Linked DNA regions of Drosophila melanogaster. The protein of the gene in region 3 interacts with the protein of the main gene of each other region in a pairwise test. Each region holds a gene or a part of one and is shown on either strand. Other genes may lie near its edges. The genes, in order: Cyp6a22, obst-A and Osi6.

Region 1 (7,171 bases), on a different chromosome or scaffold from region 3:
GACGCTCCTGCTCCTCTAAATGCTTTTTGGTTTGCTCCAGCTCCAGTTCCAGTTTGCGCTTCTTGAGCTCCAGCAACTCACGAGTTTTTGCTTGCAAAATCTCCTCCATGTCGCTGGTGATTGTGGGGTTACCAGGCATCCCAGGAACCAAACCCTTTTTACAATTGAATGGATACATTGGTCTAACTAAAGGGATTAATAGTTATTTGGGGCACTTACCGGTTTTAAGAAATCCGGATTAACATGAATGGCCGGATTGACGTGAATTTTGTTAGTTGGCTGTTTGGCAGTAATGGGCCAGTTGTTATCTAGGCGCTTCACCTTAACGTCCAGCGCGTACATCTTGGATGGCGGGAACACCTCGTTCCAGGTCTGACGCAGGGCATACATGCGTTCCCGCACCTTTTCCAAAACCTGCGACTGTGAGTGCTGGACCTGCAGGATTGAAATAACATTAATGAACCATTGGATTGACATTAAGAAAATGATTTCGCTTACCGATTCGAAGGCGTGGAGGAATATGTTGACTATGCACTGTCCAAACAATTGGACGTAGCTGCTTTTCACATTCTTTACTATCGAATCAATTAAATATAGTATGGGCAATTTAAATTCGGGCGCCACCTGTTAGAAGTTTAGTAAAATAGGTAAGAAATAAAGAAGAATAAGTGTCTACGGAACGTCGCTAGCGGAGATTCAAACGGATAGGTTGGAAGAAAACTAATGAGACAGGCCGATGGACAACACAAGAGCAGGGTCAGCGATCGTCCACCGAAGTCATCATCCTCATCTGCTGGTGGTGGGTGCCTTCATGCCAAGGCGGTCGAACTCAAACAATATCCTAGCCTACAGAGAAATATTTTCCTAAGCATTGGGTGTTGAATGAGGAAACGCGGTGTCTAAGGATCTCCAAACATTAAGGGTTACAGTGTTGGCGTATGATGTTAGCGGTCTGTTCCCTTAGCCGAGTGAATATGAATGAAAATCGCAGTGACAATGTGGCAGAAACAAAGGCTTTTACTACTCTTACGTATTATGGACATTTGTTTTTGTTTGGCTGCAGTTTTTTTTACTTTTACGAAAACTTGCACTTTTCTTTTTGTAATACAAAAATTGCTGCACATCAATTTTTTTTATATTGATTGTAAGCAGTCAAAGTTTTTGTATAAAATAAAAGACAACTTGGTGACAATTGTTTAAGCATTTTCTCTTTTTATTTATTTTTCAATATTTTTTTAAAGGTTGTTTGTTATTCCTTAGCTTTAAACTCTGGGATCCAAAGTAGAAAGAAATAAGAAACGAGGAGCAGGTTGGTTAAACTTCTTACCTTTGTAGATGATTAAAATCAGTCACGGTTTATAACCCAAATTATGAGATATATACTAAGATTATTAGGAACCTATCTACCATTTGTGCCCAAGAGTTTGCAGAAAAACCCAACTGAAAGAACCGAGTCTTAGAAACGCATATGTGTGGCCTTCGTTGGGTTTCTCTGCAATCAAAGGGCAACCGCAATCAATAAACTGCACATTCTATCACAATTTCGATATGGAGAATCACTTTTAGTGTCGACCGTCTATTAGCTGTGTGTAAGCTGGAGTGTCTTTGTTTTTAAGTAAATACGCTTTTGTTTTGTTAACCTGGCTGATGTAATATTCCACCACTTTAACTATGATGTGGGCGTAGTTGATGTTCTCCTCGGCAAGCATCGTGAGCATATTGATCAATGGCTTGCTGTTGCAGTTGAGGTCCTGGAGACTTGACAGATACTCCTCGCCGATCCTTCGCTCATCGTCGCGGTAATTCTGAAATAGCTGCTCCATTGTGGACTCTGTATTCCAGATCTTGATCCGGATATTGATCAAGTTATTTGGTTTGAAGTAGTCGCAGTTGCTATGTTTCGACTGCAAGGGAAAATATAACAAAGTAATTAAATGACATGAAAAGCAAAGGTAATTTGTGTGAAAAAGTTTGCACTATTAATGGGATTTTGTCGGGATATTTTGGATGAATAATGTATTAAGGTTGCGATGTTTGTTAGCGATATCTTCATCTCTGCCCATTTTATTTGTAATAAACCGTGATGCACTGAAATCTTAGGCTGCACTATGTGGATAGATAATCCTGTATACAGCGTATCTATGTATGTAATTCGTACCAGACGTAAACAATCACGCGCGTCCACAAACACAAGGTAATCTCTTACATATATACACACACACACGTACGGAATGACGACGAAAATTCAATATGGCGGCCATGAGCATATTTTCGCATGTGTGGCCTGCCCGAATAAATTAACCAATAAAGTGCTTGTTTTTCCTTTCTGTACATCGCATTTCACGCTTTCACGAAATATTTACGTTTTAGTGAAACTATCTCGTTGCTTAAATTGATTTAACGGAGATTTTCCCAGACAAAGCCACGTTTGTGTTACCACTACATACACACGCGAGTTATCAGTTCGACTTCAATTTACTTTTTCGCGCTGCAGAACATTTAAAAACATACCTTTTTAAGCTAATACATTTGTACAATCACTGCCAGACACTTTTGCGAGGAAAAAATTTCACAAAAGCACTGCTACTATATAAAAATTAGCTTTTGAAAACTCTCACGTAACAACTGCGATGTATTTTTGATGACTTACACTTAAAAGTGTGGCCGTCGACGTGAAATGGAAATTATACATTTTATACAATTTTTATTTAAGGAAATATACTAAAAATATACCATTAAGGTATTTTTTGCATTAAACCGCGTTGCCAACCACTAGAAATGTTAAATTTTAAAGTGCCTTTAAAATTGCAGTATAACTAATTAAAAAAGAAATTAATGTTAGAAGTGTTTTATTTATTTAGTTTTAATGCAATATGCACTATTTAATTTTATAGGCGTTGCCAATTGAATTAATATACCACCAGGTGGCGGTAGTGGGCGATCCGAAAATTAGTATTGTTTCTTTAACTTCATTTCTTCTAGCCAAGTAACGGGTATCTGATAGTCGAGAAGTTCAAGAAGACTATATAATAAGTCTGATATTAGATCAGATAAAAAAAGAAAGAAAAAAAACAGATAAGAAATGCAAAATTCTTATCATACTTTTAATTACGCTCATATAGTAAGCAGAGAATAAATGCATATATTGCATAGACTTTTTCTTCAAGGCGGGTGTTCTACAGTTATCTCTCACTATATCAATTGCATTAACTTGAATCACCGTTAAAAGCTCGTCAAGTCCGAGCTTCAGTTCGATTTGTTTTCAGTGCGCCTAAATTCTATGAGACGAGGTTATCTGCCTAGGTCTGTTTACACTACTGCAGCTGATTGTAAGCGGAGCGAATAGAGGCGTTGGTCCAGTGTTCAGTTCATAGTGAATCTATTCGGGGAGAGGATGCTGGATGTAGTGGCTCTACTGCTTATTGCCCTGGCAGTGGGCTTCTGGTTCGTGCGGACGAGATATAGCTACTGGACCCGGCGGGGCATTGGCAGTGAGCCGGCCCGGTTTCCCGTGGGGAATATGGAGGGATTTCGGAAAAACAAACATTTCATCGACATTGTAACGCCAATCTATGAGAAGTTCAAGGGCAATGGAGCACCCTTTGCCGGATTTTTTATGATGTTGAGACCTGTGGTCTTGGTCACAGATCTGGAACTGGCCAAACAGATCCTCATACAGGACTTCGCCAACTTTGAGGATCGGGGAATGTATCACAATGAGCGGGATGATCCTCTAACTGGGCATCTATTCCGCATTGACGGGCCCAAGTGGCGACCCTTGCGCCAGAAAATGTCCCCCACCTTTACCTCAGCTAAGATGAAGTATATGTTTCCGACGGTCTGCGAGGTGGGCGAGGAACTTACTCAAGTTTGTGGCGAGTTGGCGGATAATGCCATGTGTGGAATCCTCGAGATCGGTGATCTGATGGCTCGCTACACTTCGGACGTGATAGGACGGTGTGCCTTTGGCGTGGAATGCAACGGCCTCCGGAATCCCGAGGCGGAGTTCGCCATAATGGGCAGGAGAGCCTTTTCAGAGCGTCGCCACTGCAAGCTGGTCGATGGATTTATAGAGAGTTTCCCCGAAGTGGCCAGGTTTCTGCGCATGCGCCAAATCCATCAAGACATTACGGATTTCTATGTGGGCATCGTTCGGGAAACTGTGAAGCAGAGGGAGGAGCAGGGCATCGTGAGGAGCGACTTCATGAACCTGCTGATCGAAATGAAGCAGCGCGGTGAGCTCACCATCGAGGAAATGGCCGCCCAGGCATTTATATTCTTTGCGGCGGGATTCGACACATCCGCATCAACGCTAGGATTTGCCCTGTACGAGTTGGCCAAGCAGCCGGCACTGCAGGCAAAGCTACGCGAGGAAATCGACCAGGCTCTGCGGTTACACAACGGTGAATTCACATATGATTCCATGCAGGAGCTGCGGTACATGGAACTGGTCATAGCAGGTGAGCCCGACTCAAAACGAATTTTAAATATTACAAAGATGATACCATTTACCACTGTATCTTTTAGAAACCCTTCGGAAGTATCCCATACTACCGCAGCTCACTCGGATCTCCAGGCATCTCTACGCAGCCAAGGGCGATCGTCATTTCTACATCGAGCCGGGTCAAATGCTACTGATACCGGTCTACGGCATCCATCATGATCCCGCCCTATATCCCGAGCCACATAAGTTCATCCCGGAGCGCTTTCTGGCCGATCAACTGGCGCAGCGACCCACCGCCGCATGGCTGCCCTTTGGCGATGGACCGCGAAATTGCATTGGAATGAGGTTTGGCAAAATGCAGACGACCATTGGCCTGGTCAGTCTGCTCCGAAACTTTCACTTCAGCGTCTGTCCGCGAACTGACCCAAAAATTGAGTTTCTCAAGTCCAACATTCTGCTGTGCCCCGCCAACGGAATTTACTTAAAAGTCCAACAGCTTAGCCAAATGAGTAGTTAGTGCTGCTTATTAAATCGCTATCTGGATTGTATTCTAACATTTAGTATCTACATTTTACAATGCTGTTATACAAATACACAATCAAATGTTTTTATCAATCAACGTAGTAGGTACAGTAAAACTGCTGTATATCTAATCAAGCTTCTTGAGCTTAATTTGTTCGATTAAATATTTGTATTTCGTCACTGACGTTATCTTAGCATTTCACCAGTTCCAGGGATTTTAAATAATGAAATCTGTTTTCCAAGTTTCATGCTTAATTTGTACATTTACGTTGGCAAAAACCAAGTTTGCAAAGAATGCAATAAAAATTACTGGAATTCGCTTTGTTTATATTTTTTTGATTGCGTAATCGCTAGATTGTTTATATACAGAGATTGTATGTATATAGATTGTTTGTTCATATATGTGTATACAACCATTTTAACTGCGCATATGATTCCCTAATTATTATTTATCACATTGAGAACAAACCTTAAGAGAACTTGAACGGTGAGTTTTGTGTGTGAAAATGAGAGATTGGCGAAAAGAGCGAAGTCCTCATACGCGAATGAGCTTGCGTTGTGGCATCCCACTTTAAAGTCAGTTTGTATTGGACTCTGGACGTGAAATGTTGTTACTGGCGCTAATCGTTGTGATACTATCACTGCTCGTCTTCGCGGCCCGACGACGTCATGGATACTGGCAGAGAAGGGGCATACCGCACGACGAGGTACACCCGCTTTTCGGAAACATCAAGGACTGGCCAAATAAGCGGCACATTGCCGAGATCTTTCGGGACTATTACTTCAAGTACAAGAACTCCGATTACCCATTCGCTGGATTTTTCTTCTTTTTCACCCGCACTGCTGTGGTCACCGACATGGAATTGCTCAAGAGGGTGCTGATCAAGGACTTCAATCACTTTGAGAATCGGGGAGTCTTCTACAACGAGATCGATGATCCGCTGTCGGCCACCTTGTTCAGCATCGAGGGTCAGAAGTGGCGTCATCTGCGGCACAAACTGACACCCACTTTTACGTCCGGCAAAATGAAGAACATGTTTCCGATTGTTGTGAAAGTTGGAGAAGAAATGGATAAGGTCTTCAGAAGTAAAACCGCTGCGGATCGGGGTCAAGTTTTGGAGGTTGTGGATCTGGTGGCACGGTACACCGCCGATGTGATCGGCAACTGCGCATTCGGTCTCAATTGCAACAGCTTGTACGATCCAAAGGCTGAATTTGTGTCAATTGGCAAGCGGGCGATCACCGAGCATCGCTACGGGAATATGCTGGATATATTCCTCTTTGGATTTCCCAAGTTATCGCGCCGCTTACGTCTGAAACTAAATATCCAGGAGGCAGAGGACTTTTACACCAAGATCGTGAGGGAAACCATTGACTACCGTCTACGGACGAAGGAAAAGCGAAATGATTTCATGGACAGTCTGATAGAGATGTATAAGAATGAGCAGTCGGGAAATTCGGAGGATGGCCTGACCTTTAACGAACTTCTCGCTCAGGCTTTCATATTTTTTGTGGCTGGGTTTGAGACAAGCTCCACGACCATGGGATTCGCTCTATATGAGCTGGCCAGGAACCAGGATGTTCAGGATAAACTCAGGGAGGAGATTGGCAATGTGTTCGGCAAGCATAACAAAGAGTTCACCTACGAGGGAATCAAGGAGATGAAATACCTGGAGCAGGTTGTGATGGGTATGTTTCTTTAATCCTTCTTATTTTTTATTTGATACATTTATTTAAATATTGTTTTAGAAACGCTGCGAAAGTACCCAGTACTGGCTCATCTTACAAGAATGACTGACACCGACTTTTCGCCTGAAGATCCAAAATACTTCATTGCCAAGGGAACCATTGTTGTGATCCCAGCTTTGGGCATTCACTATGATCCGGACATATATCCGGAACCGGAGATATTCAAGCCAGAACGCTTTACCGACGAGGAAATCGCGGCGAGACCCTCGTGCACTTGGCTTCCATTTGGAGAAGGTCCGCGGAACTGCATTGGTCTGCGGTTTGGAATGATGCAAACCTGTGTGGGCTTGGCCTACTTGATCAGGGGCTATAAATTCAGTGTTTCCCCGGAAACTCAAATACCCATGAAGATTGTCGTTAAGAACATTCTGATATCGGCCGAGAATGGTATCCACCTTAAAGTGGAGAAGCTCGCCAAATAAGTTTTTAACAAATACATTATTTGTGTTCTTTATT
Region 2 (7,171 bases), on a different chromosome or scaffold from region 3:
AAGGATGCATCCAGCATCCACGCTGTGCACAAGGTCGCTTTCGCTCCACACTGCCAATGATTTAGCTAGTTTCCTAGCTAGTTCGGGTCCATTTCCTGGCTTGAAAAAGAAAAACACGCCAAGGCGGAAATCGAGCTTCTCTGGCAACATGTGTGATTGAAAGTAAAAGGCAAAGCTCGCGCAGACCATAAGCTTCATTCATGATTGGGCCCCGTTTGCCGATTGCCGTTACATTGTTAACTATTGCAAAACTTTTGCTTTTGCTTTGCTTTGCTCGTGCTGCGGCGATTGCATAAGCACTCTTGCCTGCTTTTTGTGTTCATTTACATGTGTAAATGTGCGGTCCGCTTGGCCACTCGGCCAATTAAAGACTCTTTGCAACCGATGGAGGGACAAAGGGCTATGATGGATAATGGATGCACCGATCCCGCCCGTCCACGGCGATTATCCGATATTGCGTGTGGAGTGAAAGGTTTGATTGATTGGTCAATCGACCACTCAACCCCCCCCCCCCCCCCTCCCTTTTTTTGCTATTTCCCCACGAGATGCACACTAGTTTTGTATAGATTCGAAATACATAGTTTTTTTTAATTCGAGAAAGATCGGAGAATGGGAAGTGAGTTTGGGTGTCATGGGTTTACAGTCGGTTGAATGATTACTTAAATAAGGTACGTGAAAATTTCTTATCGTTTGGATTTTGCAGGCAAGTCAAGATGTTTATTAATAAATAACATATAGCATAGTCTAAAAGAGTATTTATACAGTAGGTATAATCGAAATACAAGGAAATATTTATGAGGAAGATAGAATGTATAGAAAAGATTTAGATTTGAAACTTGAGGTAGAAGTGAAATACAAGATTACAGGATTGAAATGCTTAAAAAAGGAGCATTTTAGGAATAATAAACTGTAGCGTAACAGTTCGCAAAACAATAAAACACGAACTAAATTGAAATTTTAAAGATAGAAAGAAAGAAATCAAGAAAAGAGAACGGAAAAGATTCAAGTTTGAAAATTTTAGGAGGACAAAAGTTTGTAAAGAGTGGGTTTCCTTATAGACAGAAAATTGGTTTTGGAATATGATAAGAAGTTAAGTAGAGTAACGTAGAGATGAGGGAAATTGAAATTTTAGGCGAAGATCACATAGGATAGCTGAAACAGTATATGGAATAGTAGTAGTCTTGGGATTGGGAAGATAGTTTATAGTAGATAGATAGATATAGATAGTTTATAAAAAATTCAGTTTATTCTTTTTGTATAATAATAAGGCGAAAGTCTGAAAGCGGGAAATATATACACAACAATTTGGCAGCGTTTGGTTGGGCACAGAAATGGAGATTTGGGTAGTTAGAAAAGTAGTTAGAAGTAGTCAGATATAGAGAAAGATAGTTAAGAAATAGATAGGTCAGAGTATTGAAGTTTAACTGCTACACATACGCTCTATAGGAAATGGGCTAGAACTACTAAATTTAAGTGACTAAGACGCGAATCTGTGTGTTGATTTGTTTCGAATTGTTTCGATTTGATTTGATTGATAATTTCTTTCAGTGTGCTTGTGTGTGCGTGTGCATGTGCATGAGTTGTGAGTGTGGATGTGATGAGGAGAAGTAGAAGCGACCGGAAGTGGCTTAGTCCTTCTTGTCGTCCACATCCTTGTACCAGTCCTCGCAGCCGGGCACATTCTCGGGAGCATCGCACATCTCGGTGGCATCGTTGTAGACCTCGCCCAGCTGGCAGCCCAGATCCCTGGGATCCTCGCCGTTCAGGCACACGTAGAACTTCTGGCAGTCGGTGGGATGCGGATACTTGGGGTGGGTCACCACCTGGCCGCGATCGTCGGTCTTTGGCTGATCCTTGGGGCACACGAAGCCGGTCTCGGAGGTTCCTGAAAGTACACACCACATGCCAGACCATTAGCCCACTCCGCCGCACGGCGACTCAATCGGTCCACTTACTCTGCTCCGGATTGCAGCCCTCGCGCTTAGCGGTATCCGGCCACACGCAGGTGCCCGAGTACTCGTCGAAGTGGAGGCCGACGGTGCACTTGGTCTCCAGGGCGTCGCCTTCGATGCAGTTGTAGAAGATGTTGCACACGGCGGGATCGGGATGCGCGAAGAAGCCGTTCTTGCGCGGGCAGTACTTGCTGGACTTCGGCTCCTCTGTGAAGGGGAAACCGAACAGGGTTAGTTCCTCCGTCTACCAAAGGAGCTACACAACTACATAACTTTTGGATAGCTCATTGTAGTGGTGTATTTGCTTTAAATATAGAGATGTCCAAAAGTATGCTACAAATTCATCCTTTCAACTGATGCTTTCATTAGTAAGCTAAATTTGAACTTAAGAGGCGAATTTAAATTTAACTCCCTACATAGTTAATGGTGATGTAATGATGTAATTGGAATAACCTGTTTAGCGCTCTGCCTTGACATAGTTTTCGTGACCATTCCCAAGGGGTCGGTAACAATAGCCTAGAAATAGAAATGGTGATGGGATGGGCTACTTACGGAGCTCAGTGCGGTCCTCGCAGTCCACATTGAAGGGCTGGTCGCACTTGTTGAACTTGCGGTTGAGTGGATCGAAGACCAGGCCATCGGGACAGAGCTTCGCCTTGGCCACTCCGTCGTCGCAGACGTAGAACTTGTCGCACTGCACCTCATCGGCGAACTGGCCATTGGGCTTCGGGCACTCGAAGTTGGCGGCGGACACGGCTGGTGTTGGGGTAAAACAAAGGAAAGAAACAAGCACTTCAGTCAACTGGTTTTCCCACTTTCACTTTCCTGGCGACCCCCAGTCGCACTCGAAAGTGTAACAGATCGAACGACGTTCGATTACCGATGGCAATTCCGCATTTGCGGTTTCCTGGTTGCCACCACTCCCGGTGGCCCAAGAAATGATCAGTGGTTTTCCATTGGAACAGGTTGCTATCGCTTGATACATTTGACCAGAATCCCACTGACTTCGGTAAGCTAGATATAGGTTAGTACTATTTACTCAACCAATGTGAAATCTCTTACTTGGGCGCCTAAAGGATAGCTATAAAAAATGTATACAATGCGAAAATCACTGCATACTTCTATACACCTTTGCATTCGCTATGCTGACAATATCTTCTACAACCGAAATTGGGAATTCAAACTACGCGAATTCTTTGGATTTCCGTAACACACCGGTAAGTGATTCGAAATGTCGAAATTTAAATGTCAGAGAAGGCTTCATACTCAGCATAATGCCAAGATTACGACGTTCGGTCCGGGTTCAATGCACTTCTCTTGCGGCCCAGAAGAGCCGTTTTCCACTTGGCCAACAAACTGCATGAGTTGCATAACCCCAGCGGCCCAGACAGCCAGACAGCATCTTGGGCTTGGCCAGCATTCCAGTTTTTCCAGACGGAAAACGGCCCTCCATCTCGATCTGCATGTGGCCTGTAGATCCGCAATCGCGACCAGATTCAACATTTGCGTCTGAGGCCCAGTCTTGCGAGACGGCTAAATATGATTAGCTACTTATGGCTCTTAGCTCTTAGCTACTTAGCTACTTAGCTGGCCAAAACACACAGCGGCAGCAGATCGAGATCGAGTCTTGATTTCGGTGTCAGTGTCAAAGTAATTAGCAACAATTTGCGACTCTGACTTGGCGGATGGGCTGGCACTGGCCAGTCAGTCGTCAGTCACTTGAACTGGGCACCACTGATCCATTGAACGATCCATTGATCCATTCCCACGGATCCATTGATTCACACTCACTTGTCGCCACACACAGGGTCACAGCAATGGCACATAAAAATAACTTCATTTTGGACTCGGGGTCTGAGAAAAAAAAAGCAGAGCAACGATCCTGGCAACTGGATACTTGAGCAACTAATCGCGACTCAAGCGCTGCGATGGTTAAACTAAACTAACAACGGAACGCCAAAGAGGCGCACTTTTCAAGACTTTTTACCGGCTCTGCTCGACGTCGCCGACGACGCGACGACGCCGTCGGCTGCGGCAGAGTGATGCCAATGGGCGGGGCCACTACCGCCCCCGCCACTGCCACTGCCACTACCATCACCACCACCACCACCACCACTACTACTACTACTACCACACGAAACCGAGCCAGGCCAAACGAGCTGCGGCTGGAGCTGGACTGGATATGGGAATGGAATGGAGCCGGGGCTCCAAAGGCGACGAAGAAAGGCGAGCCAGAGATGTAATGGCACAAAAACAAGAAAGTCCAGGGGCGAGGACCGGAAAACCGCTGGCCAGATGCCCTAGCTTAATGTGCACCACGCGAATTCTTCAGGCCGCGCATTGATCAACTGTGTTGAAGGCGTCACCTGTATCAGATGACTTGGAGATTACATCGAAATCTTGGAAGAATTAGGAAATGCTTCTATGTATTTGTAAGCGAACTCTTAAGAATACTCAAAGGCTATTAAAAAAAAAGAAAAACAATGTTATTTATCGTATAATTACAGTTTTAATGCCGCAAATTCTTTAGTGATCTTGATCTGCAGAGCCATCTAGCGGTCATTTATGCAGGTAGAGAAGATGTTAAATTGATTTCCATTAGCGTTTCAATTCAATTGTTTCGCTTAAAAATAAAATTATATGCTAAAAATGGGTGGTTCTTAGGCATATAGAGTAATAAATAGTTGACCCTGTGCAAAAATACAAAATTCCAGCTTGTAAGCCATCTGGTCAGCTGCACATTTCCGGGTATTGACCGTCAAATAACCAAATGCGATCGAGCGACCGATGGATGCGGTTCGAGTAGGGTATGCGTTCCCTGCGATCAGTGTGTCGATGTGACCAAAAAAGCAACACACACACACACACGAAAATGAACGTAAATAAATTCATATGCGTCAACGATCCCCGAATTCAGTTGGCTCGAATTGAGTTGGCCGGGTTGATGGTCCGCATGCAAATGGCTTACATCGATCGACCAAAAGGCCAGCCAAACAGGTACCATCCATTTGGCGACGAGTTGGAGTTGGAAGACCGTCCTTTCGTCCAAAGTGCCAGCCAAAAATTGAGACTTCAAGGCTGAAGAGGACACGCCATGGGCGTAGTTTCGGTCTGGATCTGTATCTTTAAATTATACTATATATACATTGCATATATGCAGACGGACGGATGAAAGACTTGGTAATGAGTAACACACCCAATTAGTTGGAAGGTAATGTCTTAAACGCCACTCCCGCAAATCAAAAATTTAGCATTATTACTTTTGGTAAAATAAGGTAAGATAATATACATTATATATGTATAATTGAAATAAGAGCACATTTTTATAAACTATCATTTAGAAATATTAAAATATGATGAAATTAACAAGAGCAAGTACTAATGTAATAAATGTATCTTACAAATTGAATGTTGTATATCTATTAGAAACATGGTGATCCATAGGAATCCAATGAAATGCCTGATACAATATAGAATTTCTAGTTTTGCCTGCTTGGGAACTGGTCTACAGGTGATTGGTGGGGGAGGGGAGGGGGGGGGGTTGGTTTGGTGTAGCCATTTCCGAGGAGCTACGCCCATGGGATGGAAAACTGTGTCATCCCGATGCTTCCAGCGGCCAAGCGGCGGAGCATGCCGGTAATATATGTACATAATATATGCATAAATATGCTAAGCGGCCACGCAATGACCCAAAAGCCGCTGTCCTTGGGAGATGCGATCGATCCGCTCCGATCGGAGTAGGAAAGAAATAAAAAATAATGAAAATATAATCAGCTATCGGAGATCGGAGATGCGGCCAAACCAGACGGGCTGGGAAACTAGTTTAGGTTGGCGGCGTGTAGTGGCTAATTAACAATACACTTTTACTCTCGCCCGATCCCATGTGGAAACCAGGTGGAGGTGGTTCTTGGAAGCCCGGCCAGACGTCTAAATCTGAAATTCAATTGGCAAATTAATTTGTAAACTAATCGCGCTGGCATCTCGACTTCGGTGCGACAGGTTTGGCCTGGCAATTAGCGCGGGGAAAAAGCGAAGATATTAAGTATCCGCTCATCGGTTTGCCAACTCCCGCCCATGTGCAAGATTTGTCGGCCTGGAGCAAAAAGTTGAGCAGTCGAAGATTTGGCAATTCAAGGTTTTTACTGCAGCATGGGGGATCATCGGAGCGATTCCAGTTCGAGTCCGGTTTATCAATGCGGTTACGAAACGAGCAACTCGGACTACAGTTTTTGGGTCGTCGAATGCTGGCATTTAAATTCAGATGTGCAGATGTGCAGATGCGCCAAATCGAATCGAAATAAAATCCCCAAAAGTTTCATGGGCGCTTTAACCCCATGAAAACCTCTTCCTTGGCACTTTGGATACGGTATCTTTCAGATACTTTCAGATACTTTCGGATACATTCAGATACGACCGAAGGCACGTACTACTGTTGGATTCGCTTTGCGCCCCGCGTTGCAGCAACATCTGGCATTGGTGGCACAAATTATGGCATACATTGTGGAAAGACACATCGCCTAAGTGCGCTTTCTATTTCCACGGCGGGTTCTGGTGATTTCACTGGCCCAAAGACGCGCATTGAATGTAATTGGCACTTTGGAGGGGCAATTAAAACACGACATATCTACATACATATGTACATACGTATGTATGTACATACTTTCAGAACCCTGAACGTATTTTGTAAGCTCAGTAGTTTTGAGTCACTATGGGAATTTCAGCGGTATTGGTAATTTTTTACAAGAATAGTCTTGCTTACCTTTCTTAATTAATTAATTTTTACATTTTGTAGTACTTCACACTCAGCATTTTAATCAAACAAATGCACAGGTTGTGGGCATTAATTTTAGCTGAATTTTAGACCTAAAAGGATTATTTAATTTTGTATGCATATGGGACATCAGTGTATTATCATTAAGGTACTGTGTATCAATTCGAATTTACCTACAGATACCTCTCTTGAATCTATAAATTAAAAGTTACGCTTCAGAAAGCAACACTGATATTTCATAGTGCATGTGTGTGAGTGTGCAAAACTTTTTTATGATAACTGTAAGCCACCTATAACATAACAATTTTAAAATGCGGCATATCTCTGTATTAACATACTTTTTACCTATTATTAATTATGGTAATATAATTATATATTAATCTAATATATTTATAATTAATATTAATAATTAATAATTAATAATTAATAATATATAATATAATATATA
Region 3 (7,171 bases):
ATTGAGCCTCCTTGGTGGGCGAGATCTGTTAAGGGTGGTAGTGTGGTGCTTCGCACAAACCACTCGCAGCCGGTGATGAGTCTTGCTACCTTATTTTGAATAGCCTGGATCCTTTTTATTTGGCTGTCGCATGCCAAGCCCCAGATGTGGTACCCAGACTTCCAGAATCGTCAGCTTGTTGGATAGCGACAATTTACTGCGCGAACAAAGTAGCCAGTAGTGCTTCGCCAACTTAGCACGTAGGCGTGTTCTGATGTCAGTCACATGCTTGGGAAATGTGAGTCTGCGATCCAGAAGCACTCCAAGGTACTTTGCTGCGTTCGGCTGTGGTACGGGGGCTTCCAATAAAATCCTGTCTTTTAGTGGATTTGGCAAATAAAATTTTAAAAAGTTGGTTTTTGTACGTTGCCGAAGAAATTGGTTGGAAATGGAATCTGTTGAAGCATTTCATTAAAAATAGATTTTAGAAAAGATATAAACATAAAAAAACATAATTGTGTAAGGACATGTTTCTAATTCTATGCTTCAAGGATTCTGTTATTATTACTTAAAGAAAAAAAAAAGAGGACAAATGATTCATTATGGTACTTCCCACTTTGAATAAATATGCATTTCGTAGAACTCAGTTCAGGGGAATAGTTTCATTTCCCAAATGGTTTCTCACAAGGCGCCATGCACTTTCCCTTTTTCTGAGCAACAGCCCATTTGTGACACGATTGTGTTCGGGAATGACCGTGTTTTCAATGACTTGGGAGTGTCTGTTTTCACTGCCTCCACAATCACCGGGAATGACTTTGCGTGTTCCTACGAGTGCGTCTGGACAATAGCTATTGATTTAAAGCGTGACACCTTCAATGGAGAACTACTTAGGAATTTCACTTAGCAAAACAATTCAAAAAGAAGAGTGAGAAGAGTCCACGATTGGGCCCGAAATGAAGTTGTAAACTGCGGTAGAAGCAGAACCAAGCAGTTGTGTGCTGAGCAAGCAAATCAAACAACGAAACGCCAACCAACCGGCCCCAATGATCATAGAAAAGTGCTTTTAAGCCATTCGGCGACACATTAATTGCTGACGTATTTGTGCACGAAGAAAGCCAATAGGCAGTCAATGTGCACAGCATCCATGAGCCAGCCCCCAAAGTGGGTCATATTCATAAGTAAAGCACCTATCGGCCCATCAGCCATCAGCGGCTGTAAAGTGCCGTTCTGCCAACCGGCAACTGCAGTTCAGTTCAGTTCATTTCAGTTCAGTTACTTAGGCTCAATTGAGCCGGGCCCATTTCGACGGCGTTTACAACTTTCTTTGGGCCAAAAGGTGCTAAGCGTCGCCTAACAATGGGGCTCCGTCAGGTGGAGAAATATTAAAATACAATACGATGGTGCCCCGCCTTGAATGAACCGAAATGCGCGTAGCTAAATGTTTGTTTTATTTTTCAGCAAATTGCCTTTGTTCATATGTGCCTTTGTTCACAGTGAAAATGGAGTTTACCAGAAGCAGAAGAGTGGAAGTGAAATAAGTGGGTGAAATTTAGAAACCCCATAAAGAGTTCGATTTTTGGAGGCTGATAGCAGGAAGAATGAGGCGGGTAAAAGTGAAATGAAAGTTGCGCCATCCACGTGCAAATGCTTTGCTAGACAACGCGGCGTATGAGTGATGCTGTCGAGGGCTGTGATGGCGAGTTGCGTATGCAAACCGAAATGAAAATTGTGTGGTGATGAGAAAAGAGAGTCGTGTTGGTAAAGTATTTTTTATGTTTGAATTATTATTTGATTCTTTGATTTAGCAGCATTCGGTTGGTCTTTCCCGGGCGGTAAAGTGAGAAAGTCCAGATAGTCAGACAGATATGGATAGACAGATAGGTAGATAGATTAAGGTAGAGGTACAGATAGAGATAGTCGTAGAACAGAGATAGATGGAAACAGATGAGAGATAGATACAGTTAGATGGGCGAGGCGACTGGCTTTGACTGATGGATCGACTAGTCGCAAAGATTTGCAGTCCATTTATCAAAGGTGCAGCCATGAAATTGAGATACAGCGTGAAGAGTGAGGAGTGCGGAAAGTAGTAAAGATTCCTTTGTGGAGGTTATTGGCGGTTCTGGATGAAAGGTGGTGTTTGGTGTTTGGGTGTGTCTTGTTATTAAGTGATTGTTTTTTTGTCTAATGGAAGGCACTTTGTTCGTCTCGTACTTCTCGTTCAAGTAATAAATTAAAATAAATAATTTATAAATAAATATAAATATAGGTCATCATTTTTAGCGATTGTTTCTCTCTCTCTCCTTGGCCTTCGTCCTTCGGTTAATTTGGCTCTTGACCAATTGTTTACCGGCGGGCCTGCTTGTATCCCTGGTAGGCGATGGTCTGGGCCACAGGCGAGCTGTAGGCACCATGGGTGTCCCAACCCGAGCTGCCGCCAGAGGACCATCCGGCGCTGGAGGCACCACCACCCGAGGACCATCCACCGGTGCTGGCAGCCGACGATCCACCGGCGTTCTTGCCGCCGAAGAGACCTCCCAGACCGCCGAGCAGACCGCCGCCGCCTCCGGATCCACCGATGCGTCCCAGTCCGCTGGAAGCACCAGCAGCCAGAGCCAGGAAGAAGGCGATAACAGACACAACCAGTGCCTTCTTGGCCAGGAACAGTAGTCCGAAGATGGAGCCGACTCCAAGGACGGCGATCTTAGCACCAACTCCCAGCAGGATGGGCAGGAACTTCTTCAGCAGCTTCTTCTTGCGGGTACGGGACTCAACAACCAGCTCGCGGAGATCAGCCTTGATGTCATCGGGAATGGCGCGGGCCACGCTGCGAGCGGCGTTAGCGAAGTTGAAGTTCAGGGAGCGTTCAGCGAAGAAGCTCTTGGCGTTGTCCATGAAGTAGTTGCCCATCTCGGCGGTGCGGGCCTCCACGGTGGGAGCGGCCTCAACAGCCAGGGAGTTGTCCAGGGACTTGCCCTGACGACCTTCATTGGACTTCACCAGAGAAACACCACCGAAAAGCTCGATCTGAGGGTTATCGAACACGGACTTGGCCTTGCGGAAGAGCTGTGGAGGAGGTAGTGGGGTTTCGAATTAGAGCGAACTGTAATAAACTGTGATCTAAAGTCTAAAATATTGGTCATTGAGGATATGTTTGATTGATTGTTATAATTATATGACTTCATGTGTATGTAAATAAGTGGCTAAGGAAGAATTTAGTTGTGAGTGAAATTTAAAATAATTTCTTAGTTTGCAAGTAAGGGAAAATTTGTTGTTATCAACTGTTTTTAGATTTTAGAATTTTAGAATAGAATTTCGATGATATATTTTTAGCTCGGAAATATAAAAGAGATGTGCTTAGAGCAGCTGGCAAGTCTAAAAAACACTTTTAAGTGGTAATGTTGTTTTCACATCTTCCTGTCAGGTGTCAATTGTGTTTGGCAAACTACACACTCTTTTCAAAATTGATTATTGCGAAATAGTTGCAGCTTGACAGGAAGCTGTAAAGAAACTGTTTTTCACTTTCACTTCAATAGTATCCTTTAGATCACATGGGACAACACGTAATCGGTGATCTATTGATTTTTTGGTTTCACTTTCACTGTTAAGCATCTTTGCAATTGTTCTCGATTGTGCTTTGATCTTTCGTTTTGTAATAGGGGTATATAATCCTTAGGGCCTAGATAATCCGTACCGTGAGCTGCAGGCACGAGATGGAGTCGGACTCGAGGCACTGGGCAAAGGCGCCGGGCTGCTCCTCAGCGGCCTTGACGGGATCGGCAGAGATACCTGCTGCCAGGAGCAGGATGCAGGCGGTGGCAACGAAGAACTTCATGCTGGTGGCTGGGTTGGTGGATTGGTGATTTCTGAGACTGAATTCCTTTGGCACCACCGAAATCACTGGTGTGTTCATTCGAATGGAACAAGCTGCGGTTTGATAACTTTTCGCCGCTGTCAGGCTGTTTTTAAAGAGTTTCCAACGTAGCGGTCGCCTCGGCAGCGGCATAACGTAAAATTATGTAAAAAGCGCCGGTGCCCACACATACAGCTAGGGTCTCCGTCGCCGAAGAGCCTGAGCCCTCTTCCACACGTGTCTGCGTGCTCTTTCTGGCATTTTGACTCTGCGAAGACGGCAGCTGCCCTCTCTTTCTGACCGCAGCGCTGCCTCTCTTTCTCAGCAGCCTCCGAGCTTAGAAGCCGCATTAGGCAAGCGCAGGCAGAGCTTTGTCTGCTTCCGCATTAAAGAAAGTCGCTGCGCATGAGCATGCGAAGACGAGTCTTCTTCGTCTTCGGTCGACGTCAGCGCAGGCAGCAGGGCTGTTGAATGTGAGAGCACGAGAAAGTTTCCATCGGAGAGCCAAAGCCAAGGTTGTTCGTCTTCTCTCCCCCACACACTCATACACATGCGCGCATCACACACACACACAGCGAAGAGACCCCTGAAGACGCATCTTCCCGCAGAGTCTTCTGCCCATCTCCTCGAACAAACGCACGCAGACAAAGAGGTGTAGTTTCTTCTGGAGCCTCACAGATTACAACACATGAAGTGATAAACAGGTGCTGCGCAGGTTAACCCTCCACACACCCCGACTCTTAACCCGTGGATGCCGGGCCAGCCCCCCCCCCCTCCGCCATAATATGTGTCATATATTCTTCTGGATTTTGTTAATTTTTTGAACGCTTTTGTTTTTTGGGCACTTTGCCGCAAGAAATGAAAGTTGTCTGTATAATATTTTCATACTACTGTTATTTCTGGCCCTTGGTCTGTATGTCATCTCCGTTTAATACCCCCCGTCGACCCGGTATCACCGAAAATAGTTATGTTTACCGCATGTGCGCGTCTTGAAATTACTTTTTATTTTCGTGACTTTATTGTGGTTCTGTTTTTATTGCGCAACATAAAGTGTGATATATAATGACAGTTATTTAACCAGGACAGGGTCTGGAAACAGGATATCTGGGAGCCGGGATCTAGGGCCAGATAGGCACGTCCTACTCGGGACTTTTCCTTCGGGCAGTTCGAGTACTCAGGTGAAAACACCTCTGCGGGCATAATCATAAGGAACGGCCTGACTCGGCAATTGTGACACATTAGTCAACAATTTGAGCTTAGCAAAAGTGCAAATAACAGCTCGCTTCAATTGCTCAAGTGAAATGAAAGAGAAATTACACGAAAAGCAAACAAAAACGGATGCGCACAAGACGCCAGATACCCACAGATGATGGACTACTGCACTTGGCGAAATCATCACATAGTTGCTGTATTTTAGCGAAATTTACTTGATTTGTTTTATCAAGCTGTCAAAAATAAGTAAATTGATGGAATTACAGTAAGTTCTGATAAGCTTTTAATAGCATATTAAATTGGCATTATACAGTAAAGATGACACAAACTTATTCTGCGTCCGCGACGCTAGAATCTGCAATCAATGATCCAATGATCCTTTACTATACATAATTAAAACTCAAATTCCATATAGAAATCGATTGAATTCGGCGAAATAAAATCATGACGATTTTCCTCAGTGTGCTTGGATGGATGGTAGCTTTCTTGGAAAGATCCGAGCTCCCGTTTCAAGGTGAATGTATGTGACTGACGACATCCGACACTATCATACGGATCTGGTGCGGTGCGACTTACGAAACCCCTGAATCATCCGCATAATGGACGCCAAATTGTCGATGGGCGATGGGGCGTATGTGTAATTTGCTACCACAATTAAATCGGCTTTCAGTTGGCCGTGTGACGTCAATCGAAATAAGCGTGCAGTGGTAAAAGTGTGAGGCATTTTGTAACGCAACATCAACGTCGAAATGGGTGCAGCCTCCCCAGAGGAGAAAATCAAAACAAGTGATGCGATCTTTAGGCTGGAATTCCGCTTTGCGTTTCCTTCGACCGCCATAAATCGGCACACATTCGGATGCAAATGGGTTCGGAGCTGCAAAGCCATGCAAATTCGAATGCCGTTGCACATCCGTCTTAACGGTCGAACTTATGTCGGTTCACGCGCCGAGCGTGAACGCCTCCATTTGTCTGGCGACTGGCATGTGCCAACTTCCAACTCCCAAACTACCATATACCAACTACCAAATGACCAACAGCCAATGGCCAAGAGCATGGCGAACAGGCTTGGCCATTCATGCGACAAGCAGCCGTCCAAGTGTCCAGTGTGTGAGCTTTTATGAATGAATTTCGCTCGTAGTTGGAACTGGCATGTTGTTGCTGCTGCTCGATATTGCTGTTGTGTTTGAGGTGTTGCTGTTATTGTTTATGACTGTCCCCGAGCTGGGTAAACAAATCGCAAGTGTCTTGAGCCGCTCTGAAAAAAAAAACAACGCACAACTTGTACATTATGTTACATCAGAAACTGACTGAAACAGTGGAGGTCAATATTTTGTCCATGAAAGAACCCAGCTTTCGATTTTTCGCCACTTTTTTTTTTTAAATTTCGGCTATCCGAATAGCAGGCAATTCATAAATCCTTCGTCCAAATCGCCGGGGTATTTACCTCCCTAAAGAGCACAAAGGGGTAATTTCTGTAAGTTATCTTCCGGTTGCTATATTTATGTTTATCTATGTAGTTGAACAAGACACAAAGGAAAGCTGCTTTTTGGCTTGATTAAAAAAACTTGAGCAACCTTTGGAGGAACTTCTTAAGAATCGAAGTACAAAATTCATAGCTCATTTAGATTAAATTTTAAAAAGGAACTTAAAATTGGATAATATTTATAACAACGTTTCTAACTAAGACCATCCATCTCTGGCCAATTCTGAACTTGCGTTTTCACTCGTTTAAATTATGCACTTGCCTACAAAAAGTTAATGTCTTAAGAAAGTTGGTCACAAGCCTCCGAAAAGATGGTCAAGTCAAACACCACCGCGAAGAAAATCTCAATAATTACACTACTTATTAGGCCAATGGCTGAGTGGGCTTCAATCAGCAGATCGAAGAGCGGAGCGTTCGTTCGAATCGGTGATTATTTTGGGCCCGCGGAGATATCATCGTATTCTCACTTTCATTTTGCTTGACATCAATTTGGGCCCAAGACTCATTAGTGGATCGGGCCAAGACGACGATGATGACCGTTGTGTCCCACACAGAGGCCATTTTACTGTATTATTTATCAGCGAAGGCCCTTTTTCTAGCCGTTCGAATTAAATTAAAGCCAAATGGCTTAGCCGTGAAAGTTTTTT

Evidence for each region.
Region 1: the proteins of Osi6 (region 3) and Cyp6a22 interact in a two-hybrid assay, tested with the Drosophila melanogaster proteins (one large-scale study listed by BioGRID).
Region 2: the proteins of Osi6 (region 3) and obst-A interact in a two-hybrid assay, tested with the Drosophila melanogaster proteins (one large-scale study listed by BioGRID).

What each region holds. Positions count from the first base shown.
Region 1 is NT_033778.4:14,868,409-14,875,579, forward strand, and holds Cyp6a22 (cytochrome P450 6a22), read left to right. Parts: upstream 1-2,957; 5' UTR 2,958-3,121; intron 3,122-3,229; 5' UTR 3,230-3,394; coding exon 3,395-4,460; intron 4,461-4,527; coding exon 4,528-4,961; 3' UTR 4,962-5,057; downstream 5,058-7,171. Other genes in the region: Pcf11 cleavage and polyadenylation factor subunit, read right to left, coding at 1-154, 220-435, 499-624, 1,641-1,823; Cyp6a17 (cytochrome P450 6a17), read left to right, coding at 5,572-6,655, 6,716-7,137.
Region 2 is NC_004354.4:20,236,599-20,243,769, reverse strand, and holds obst-A (obstructor-A), read right to left. Parts: upstream 3,916-7,171; 5' UTR 3,793-3,915; coding exon 3,744-3,792; intron 2,709-3,743; coding exon 2,505-2,708; intron 2,160-2,504; coding exon 1,956-2,159; intron 1,886-1,955; coding exon 1,629-1,885; 3' UTR 561-1,628; downstream 1-560.
Region 3 is NT_033777.3:6,231,454-6,238,624, reverse strand, and holds Osi6 (osiris 6), read right to left. Parts: upstream 3,918-7,171; 5' UTR 3,890-3,917; coding exon 3,671-3,889; intron 3,043-3,670; coding exon 2,323-3,042; 3' UTR 1,444-2,322; downstream 1-1,443.